Linked DNA regions of Caenorhabditis elegans. The protein of the gene in region 1 interacts with the protein of each later gene in a pairwise test. Each region holds a gene or a part of one and is shown in the gene's direction. Other genes may lie near its edges.

The links. The genes of interacting proteins can lie anywhere in the genome.
Region 2: the proteins of abi-1 (region 1) and phm-2 interact in a two-hybrid assay, tested with the Caenorhabditis elegans proteins (2 studies listed by BioGRID).

Annotation. Positions count from the first base shown.
Region 1 is NC_003281.10:5,689,550-5,694,379, reverse strand, and holds abi-1 (SH3 domain-containing protein), read left to right. Parts: upstream 1-1,649; 5' UTR 1,650-1,673; coding exon 1,674-1,802; intron 1,803-1,849; coding exon 1,850-1,935; intron 1,936-1,981; coding exon 1,982-2,423; intron 2,424-2,914; coding exon 2,915-3,506; intron 3,507-3,990; coding exon 3,991-4,151; 3' UTR 4,152-4,273; downstream 4,274-4,830. Other genes in the region: B0336.13 (Transcription initiation factor IIA small chain homolog), read right to left, coding at 46-332; arle-14 (ARF7 effector protein C-terminal domain-containing protein), read right to left, coding at 590-726, 801-1,125, 1,166-1,261, 1,310-1,366.
Region 2 is NC_003279.8:11,516,006-11,520,586, forward strand, and holds the start of phm-2 (Pharyngeal muscle protein 2), read left to right. Parts: upstream 1-1,552; 5' UTR 1,553-1,560; coding exon 1,561-1,614; intron 1,615-1,668; coding exon 1,669-1,737; intron 1,738-1,742; exon of another isoform or gene 1,743-1,841; coding exon of another isoform or gene 1,842-1,874; intron 1,875-2,541; coding exon of another isoform or gene 2,542-2,713; intron 2,714-3,067; coding exon of another isoform or gene 3,068-3,186; intron 3,187-3,461; coding exon of another isoform or gene 3,462-3,578; intron 3,579-3,968; exon of another isoform or gene 3,969-4,097; intron 4,098-4,262; coding exon of another isoform or gene 4,263-4,481; exon of another isoform or gene 4,482-4,581. Other genes in the region: abhd-11.1 (AB hydrolase-1 domain-containing protein), read left to right, coding at 529-842, 978-1,103; F32B4.5 (KCTD8/12/16 H1 domain-containing protein), read right to left, coding at 1,842-1,874, 2,542-2,713, 3,068-3,186, 3,462-3,578, 4,263-4,481.

The DNA of each region.
Region 1 (4,830 bases):
TTTTCTAGATTTTTTATTTTTAATACAAATAAAAGAAACACTCACTTATCAATAGGCTCATCAAACGATCGCTGGGGATCTTTCAACGTGACATTATTGAGAATAAACGTCCAAACGTTATCACAATATCGATAAGTGAGCAGTTGTGTCGCACAAAAATTCATTTTCTCTTTTGGAAGCCGCGAGATTTGCTTGTTCATGCTTTTATCAAATTGTTGCAGAACTTTCGAAGCAAGAGATTTCGTGAGAAGTCCTTCGGATTCCATGTCCTCAAGAGTTTTATCGAGTGCCTGACCCAGTGTGGTCCCTCGGTAAAGAGCGTATGACGACATTTCTGGAAGATTCTGAAATATCGTTGGATTAAATTTTTCTCGAGAAGATGCCAGATATATTTTCAGATTATCAACCGAGAAACTATGGATTAGTATGACAAAAAAGAACAAAAACAAACAATATCTTTAGTTTTTAATGAACATCGAGATTGAATTTTTCACAAAGACATGTATAAAACAGTTCAAAATAGATAATACCAGTACAAGAAAAAGGGGAACATACATAAGAGGTTAAAATTGATAAAACGATAAGGCATTTAATCCTTGATTTGGCCCGGAAAATAAGGATTAATATTGACAACAGGGCCCGGGGCTTCCGTCACTGTGTACATCTCCTCGACGCGTATCACCATTTCTTTTCGATTTTGACGACATCCGATGAGACATTTGCGAGCTGAAAAATGCATTTTTCTTTGTTTAAAGAATTTTTAGAACAAATATTTTTAGTTAATGAATATCATCTCTTACATTTGCACTGCTTACATGGCCAATGGCACCCATCACACTCCACCACGAGACAATCACAAAGATCGAAAAACAAAGTCTGTCCTTTTGCGGTAACCGAAAGTTTTCCTGTTTTGTCATGATGCAAAGGTTCGTCTCTCAGATCCGCCTGCTTCTCCGCGGCTACACGTTTCGAGCGGTTGGTGCTAATAATATCCACAGAGTCGGGCAAAAATCGAGACATTTCATCTCCTGGATTCGCGAACTGGAGGCCTTGAAGCTCTCGGTGTGCCATTCTCGTTCGACGGCTCGTTCCTGAACTTTCCTTTCGAGATGATGGCTGCAACTTCTGGGAACTTTGTTAAAATTTTCTTTATTCAAAAGCGTACCTTTGTTTCGAAATCGTCAAAAAGCTCCGCATCGACTTCATCGCAAATCTCGGAATCTTGTTGCATTTCACTATCCGTCGAGAAATCATTTTCAAGCTGAAAAAAATACAAAAATTAAATACATTAAAATTTCAAATTTCAAACCTCTGCTGCAGCTTTCGCCAGACCGGCAATTTGTGCGAGAACGTCATTGGAGCTCATTTTTAGAATTATTGGTTCAGAAATTTAGTAGGAAATATGATTTATATCGATTTAATTTGAATATATCCGAGGAAATTCTATTATTCGATATGCTCTCCTCGCGGGAAATAACATGTGCGTACCACTTGCGAAAAAGCGCGCCGCGCGTTGCATTCTGTGACCACGCCCTCATTAATTTCTTATTCATTCAGTTCCTTTGAGTGTTTTTCATGAAATTTCTGCTGTCAATTTATTATTTTTAAAATATTTTTCTAAACGTTAGTTAACTTTTAGTTTGTTACAGATGCTACATAATGGGGAAGGCGGAATGAGTGTTAATGATCTTCAAGAGCTCATCGAGCGACGGATACCCGATAATCGAGCTCAACTGGAAACGAGTCATGCGAATCTTCAACAAGTTGCCGCGTATTGTGAGGATAATTATATACAATCAAACGTGTGGTTTAATTTTTTCTTTTAAGTTTATGAATTAAACGTTTTCAGAATAAATCTGCTGCGCTAGAGGAATCCAAGAAATTCGCGATCCAGGCACTCGCCAGCGTAGCCTACCAGATTAACAAGATGGTTACGTAAGTATTTCAATTAATTTGTTTTAATTATGAATCTTTTTTTCAGAGATTTACACGATATGCTTGCTCTACAAACCGATAAAGTGAACTCTTTAACAAATCAAGTTCAATATGTTAGCCAAGTAGTTGATGTACATAAAGAGAAGCTTGCAAGACGAGAAATTGGTTCTCTCACAACCAATAAAACATTATTCAAGCAACCCAAAATCATTGCACCAGCAATCCCAGATGAAAAGCAGAGATATCAACGAACGCCCATCGATTTTTCTGTTCTTGACGGAATAGGGCATGGTGTCAGAACATCGGATCCACCGAGAGCAGCACCAATCTCAAGAGCAACTTCATCAATTTCTGGCAGTTCTCCATCACAATTTCACAATGAATCTCCAGCGTATGGAGTTTATGCTGGTGAACGAACGGCTACGTTAGGAAGAACAATGAGACCGTATGCTCCATCAATTGCTCCATCGGATTATCGGTTGCCACAGGTGAACATTTGAAATATTCATAGAGGCTGAAAATAATTTGCTTTTCGTGTTTTTGACAAAACGTTTTCAAAAAAAAAAGGGAGCGAAAAATTCTGACATAACTTATACATTTTAAATTTTAAACTTTTTTTTCTGAAAAATACACTCAATATTGAAAAAAAAGTGAACCATTGATAAATTTATTCAAAAAACGGTTTTTTTGACCCAAAACGACCGCATTTCATAATGAGACTTCTGAAAATATCGAAAAAAAATTTAGAGCGAGCCTGAATAAGAATCTGAAATCCTTGTTACAGCAGTTAGATACAGTATTTATTGAATAATCACATAATTAATTTTGAAATTTTTTAGAAGTCTTTTTATGAAATTCAATGTTTCAGGCTAGTTTTTGTCGACTTCAGACTAAACAACTAATTTTTAAAAAATCAGCTCATTTCCTTTTCAAAAAATTAATCAAGTTTTTTCTAACATAATCCGATTACTTTTTACAGGTCACACCACAATCAGAATCACGAATCGGCCGTCAAATGAGCCACGGATCAGAGTTCGGAGATCATATGAGCGGTGGTGGTGGAAGCGGAAGTCAACACGGATCATCAGACTATAATTCCATTTATCAACCTGATCGTTACGGAACTATTCGAGCTGGTGGTCGGACTACAGTGGATGGTAGCTTTTCTATTCCCAGACTATCATCTGCACAAAGTAGTGCTGGAGGTCCAGAATCACCAACATTCCCACTTCCACCACCAGCTATGAATTATACTGGATATGTTGCACCGGGAAGTGTGGTACAACAACAACAACAACAACAAATGCAACAACAAAATTATGGAACTATTCGAAAATCAACGGTGAACCGACATGATCTTCCACCTCCACCAAATTCTTTGCTCACTGGAATGTCAAGTCGAATGCCAACACAAGATGATATGGATGATCTACCACCTCCACCAGAATCAGTTGGTGGGTCATCAGCGTATGGAGTGTTTGCTGGTAGAACAGAATCGTACAGTTCGAGTCAGCCACCAAGTCTCTTTGATACGAGTGCTGGATGGATGCCCAACGAGTATTTGGAAAAAGGTATTTTTGGAGATTTTAATTTGATTGAAAAATTGTCGGAAAAAAATTCTCTAAGCTTTTCTGTATTATTTTACGATTTAGAAAATTGGCTAAAATTGTTAGTGAAAAATTTATTATAAAAACCGAAAAAAGTTTAAAAAAATTAAATTTAATAAAAATTTAAAAAAGAGAAAAAAACAAAAAATTTTGTGATATTGGAAAGTGATTTTGAAAAATTCAAATATCTCCAAATTTTTTTTTTTTGAGAATTTTCAAATTTTGAAAATTATAAGCTTTGATTTTTTAAAAAGTTATCTTTTTAGCTTTTATTTTCGAAAAAAACGAAAAATAAATTTCCTTTAAAAACATCGGAGTATCAAAAAAATCCAAAAAGAATCGAAATCTTAAGTTGTAAAATGCGATTTTTTGCAGAATTTTTAATGTTACAAAGCAATTATATTTGTCAATTTAAACATTTTCGAAAAAAACCAATCTTTTTTTTCAGTACGGGTCCTGTACGACTATGATGCTGCAAAAGAAGACGAGTTGACACTTCGCGAGAACGCAATTGTCTACGTACTGAAAAAGAACGATGACGACTGGTATGAAGGTGTCTTGGATGGAGTCACTGGGCTTTTCCCTGGAAACTACGTAGTTCCAGTATGATAACAAGAAATGCTAACCCTGCTAAATCAATTGCTTTTAATCTCACTTTTATTCATATTCATATATTGCCTTTTGCCTCGAGTACTTGTATGTGAAAAGCCAAAAATAAACGATGGATATGTAATCATGAAGGAAGCAGTGGTCCCCTCGTTTGCAGCAGTGAGAAGCCTAAAAATAGCCAATACGACTGCTATTTTCGAGTCTCGACGCATTTCCTGAACGCATGTGCTCGTTCTCTCACTGCCCCCGTACTACTCTCTTTTGGTTTTCCTAGGGGCTCGCCTATTTAATGAGATTGCTCATTTTCTCTTCATGCACACACATTCATTCATTTTCTTATATTTTTGTGCCTTCTTATTTCTTTTCCTCTCCTCTCTAGTTTATTTTTTCTTCTATTTTAGAATTTTAAATAATTCATGTTCGGCACGACGAATAGTGACGCCAAAGAGTTTGCAAGGCGTGGGAATTGTATCTTTTTTGGTGGGCGGTGGACACAGATTTTCTTAGAGGAGGAACAAAGGTCAAAAATACAAGCAGAATTCTTGAACAGTTGAAATTCCCGCGCGATTTCCAATAAGATGACTTGGATCGCGGTGGGACCTTAACTATTGCACAGACGCAAAATTTTGTCATTTTTGCGCCAAAATACGGTACTCGGTCTCGACACGACAATTTTTTA
Region 2 (4,581 bases), on another chromosome or scaffold:
CCGATTTACCGATAGGCCGAGCATTTTCAAATCCGGCAATTTGCCGATTTGCCGGAAATTTCAACTCCGGCAGTTTGCCGATTTGTCGGAAATTCTATTTTCGGCAATTCTCCAATTTTCCGATAAGTTTCAATTTTGGCAATTGCCGATTTGTCCATTTGCCGGAAATTGTCCAATCCGGCAATTTGCCGATTTTCCGGAAATTTCAATTTCGGCAGTTTGCCGATTTGCCAAAAAGTTTCAATTTTGGCAATTGTCGAATTGCCGGAAATTTTGAAATCAGGCAACTTGCCGGAAATTTTCAATTCCGGCAATTTTCAATTCACGCAGTTTGCCGATTTGCCAAAAAGATTCAATTTTGGCAATTGTCGATTTGCCGGAAATTTTGAAATCAGGCAATTCGCCGATTTACCGATAGGCCGAGCATTTTCAAATCCGGCAATTTGCCGATTTGCCGGAAATTTCCACTCCGGCAGTTTGCCGATTTGCCGGAAATCAATTCGAAATACAACTCCCCAATTATTCCAGAATACCTCGAATGTATCAAACAAATGATCGCCACTGATATGAACAAATCGCGAAGCGAAGTGATGGCGGAGCTCGGCGAAAAAGTGTCAAAGGTGCTGCTCTACCAATTTGTGCGCGGAAATTTGGGTGAAGATGTGAACGGAAAAGCTCATTGGATATGCAATCTGAATGTTATCGATGAGACATACATTTATCTGCTCAGCCACGACATTCGGTTCGGAGTTTTCGATGGTCCGACTCTGTTCCAGCGGGCTCCTGGCTCGGGATTCCTTCCGGCGGCTCATAAGAATCGAGTAGAGAAAATGTTCCCAATGGTAAGGAAATATAAGGTTTTCGACTAGTTTGATCTTTAAAAATGGCGGGAAAATAATCTAGAAGGGTGTGAAGACAAGCAATAGGCTAAAAATCGATAAATTTTGAAAAATAAGCTCAAAAATTCAAATTCACAGGTGCAATTCGCCGAAACTGCCTGGTCGAACCACTGGATTCATGCTGATGACCCGAAATTCTTTGTCGACTCGATTTGCGAGTTCCTGGAGGAACCTGATCAGCTTGGAATGAGAGCTTACATTTAAATTATGAAATTTGACATGGAATTCCAGCAGTTTTAGCAGTTTTTCCTCAATTTATTCGATAAATTTCTTGAATTTTACATAATTCGTTTATAATAAATGGGTTTTCTCTTATTATTCGTTTGAAAAATTGCGTTTTTGGCCTGCAAAAATATTCTAATTTGAATCTCCCTCGCTTTTCACGAAACGCGCCAACCAGTGGTTGCTGGCGCGTTTCTCGTGAGCTTGCGCGAACGCTGCGCATTTCTTTTTTTCTCATTTCTCATCTTTTCTGCGTAAAATTATCCAATTTTTCTCTTTTTTTTTAAATTTTTCACGCCAAATTAAGAATTTGCTTACGTGGCAATCGTTTGAACCGCCTAAAAAAAAGCCCGTTATTTTCGTCGAAAATCATGTTGTCGCCGAGTTGGTGTTTTATCGATTTTTTTCCACCGAAAATTTTCGATTTTCAGAGCAAAATATGCCGTTGGAAAGCGGAAAATTGATCAATGACTTGCGTGTTAGTGAATTGAAGGTAAGTGAATCATTTTTTCCACTGGAAATTCCCTATAAAATGCACTTTTTGCAGACAGAGCTCGAGAAGCGTGGTTTGAGTACTCAAGGAGTCAAGGTTGTGCTCACTGTTCGTTTGAATAAGGTAAAAATGTGTGATGTATTTATTTATCGTCGAATCTCCTGTCAAAATTGAAAAATTACAAAAAAAAACAATTTATTTGAAAAATGCAATAAAAGTCCACGTTGCTAGTTGCTACCAGTGTCCGATGGAGGGCAAAGCTGCAAAAAAATCGATATATAAATTCGGTTTCCCACCAATTGAAAGCGATACTTCTCGAATTTCCGGCCCAACTTTCCCGGAAAAAAGAAAAAGGGCTCCCCTCCCCCCATAAATTGTGCATTCTATTCACCACTTGTGTGATCAAATTAGCGTCTCAAAATGCATAGAAAAAGGGCGCTGGCTAATGAGATGAACGGAACTTGAAGAAGAATTGGCTGCTTTTTTTCCGGCGAAAATCCATTTCCAACGGCTCAGACATTTTCGAGCTCCCCTTGTGAGCACACACGTTCCGGTGGAAGAGCACGTAAAAGCGGGGGGAAAAGAAGATGAAGCCGCCCGTGATTTGATTTGAAGGGAAAATTGGAAGAAGAAGAAGAAGGAAAAAGCTTTTAAGCGGATAGAGACAAAGTTCCCTTTTGTTCACCTCACCAACTTCCGGGAAAAGTGGCGTTACTGGACGAATTGTGGGGGTTTCTACAAGCTAATGCAATGAAAATGACGAATTTTGAAGGAAAAATCAACTAATTTGATGTTAGCAGGGAAATTTTCCGACGTTTAGTGTTTTTTTTTTCACAAAAAAAATGATTTCCTAACATCAAATTAGACCAATTTCAATTCAAAATTCGATATTCTCAGCTCTAACTTTTTTCATCGTCAATTTCCTACCTTTGGCTGTCGATGGAAAACAAATTGAGAATGATGAATAAATTGCGAGTCATCTTTCGCCGCATGTTTTGGCATCTCGGACGGCGCAAATGTGTTGGAATGAATAAGTCGGTAGCCGGAAGACGCGAGTTGGTCGAACGCTTTCTCTAAGTTGCTGTGTTTTAGGAAGAATCTGGAAAGAGAGGATTGGGTTGAAGCTTTGAAATCTGGTTAACTTGTCATTTGGTAGTGCTGAAATACCAATCGTTCTGCTCAAATATTATGTTTCAAAAAGAGCTTATGAGCTCTTCTTGTGAAACTGTCGATTTCCGCTAGTGTACTCCCCCGTGTGGTGTGATCTACAAAAAATGCGGATATTTTTCCCCAAAAAAATTTCACGTCAGCACGCATTTTTTGTAGATCAAACGGAGACGGAACATTTTTTAATGGTTCAGAAATCAGCTATTATAGCTAGAAACTGTAAATTTCGCGTAAATCTACATGACGGGTTTTCAGTATTTCTGGCCGCGAAAAAGCCTGTCTCTACCTAGAAGTGTAGCGATCCATCTCGAAATCCGTGCCTCCTCCGTCTCTACACTCGTTCAACGAATCGCCGAACACTGCTCGGCACATGATTACTTTTCCGGATACGACGATTCGTAGAACCTGAAAATATCCTTTTTCTCGACGTCAAAAATGATGAGCATTTGTCTGTGTGTGTCTCTCTTCTCTTAACATACATATTCCCCTATTGCTGTATTCATAAGCAATAATAGGGGAAAATTGATGGGAGAAAACCGCAAGAGAAATGAACAGAAAAAAGGAAAAAAAAACGAGAGCAGGAAAAATGGGCTTGTTGTTGTTCCCTTTACTGGTTCGGGATTTGATGACGCGAAAGCTTTTCCTGTTGTTTTTTGAGCCATAAAATGGATATTGTGTACCTTTCGAAACGTGACTTCTGGATTGATACGTCCGGTTGAGAGAGCCGCATGACAAGAGATGCTAATGGTTGACGGGCAGGCGGCCTCCACAAATGAAATGAGCCCAAGACGTTTGGCCTGGAATAAAGAGCAGCGATTCTTGGTTTCGGTGCATTTCCTGCTTTATCGTGAACACACGTGATGCCAGGCTGTCCCATCACGGTTTGATCTACAAAAAATGCGGGAATTTGTTGTCCAAAAATATGTGGCATCAGCACGTTCTTAACCATACGAAATCAGTTGAGAATTCTGTGTCTCTTCTCCCGCATTTTTTGTAGATCTATGTAGATCAATCCCATATGAGACACTCTGACACCACGCGTGAACGTTCAATTTTCCCACGGCAAGATTATGCCAAGATCTTATTCTGCGTTCAAGGATGATCGAATTCACTACCAGAAAGCTTAATAGTGTGTTCCCCAAGTAAACGATAATTTTTTTTTGAAATTTTGTCCTAAAATATCCAAAATAGGAGTTTTGAGACAATTTTGAGCATTTTTGAGCATTCTAGCTCCCATTTTCGCCAATCAATCTGGTAATTGAGCTTAGGGGGAATTTTTATGCTGGGGAACGAAAAGCTAAATTATGCATTTCCACGGTGAAATGCTCATTATCCTAATTGAGCTCCATCTAGAAATGACAGAATTATGGGATTTTTTTAAATCTCGTATAGCTCTTTCTCATTTCGGAATCCATAAATCCAAAGCAGCCGAGCTCTTACAAAAAGCTTCCATTAACTGCTCGCGGAGCCCATAGACTCACCTCAACGGCCAATCGGGCCCACTGATCGAAAGATTCGGAGACGATAATGCTCATGTCACTGCGACGAAGCGCCTCGACGAGGATCCGCACAATCTTGTCATCTGAATCAGACGTTGCGTCGGGCGAAGTGGCGAGCAACGATTGTGGAGCACGTTGAAGTGTGGCACGAGTCGTTGAAATTGTTGCTCCGTGAGCACAAATAATTTGTGCAACTTGCATGTATGTGTGTGTGCGTTCACTTCTTCGTTTATCTCTAGTGTTTGTTAGCAGAAAGAAAGAAGAAGAATAGGAGGCAAAAGAGGACGTCAAAGACTCTTCA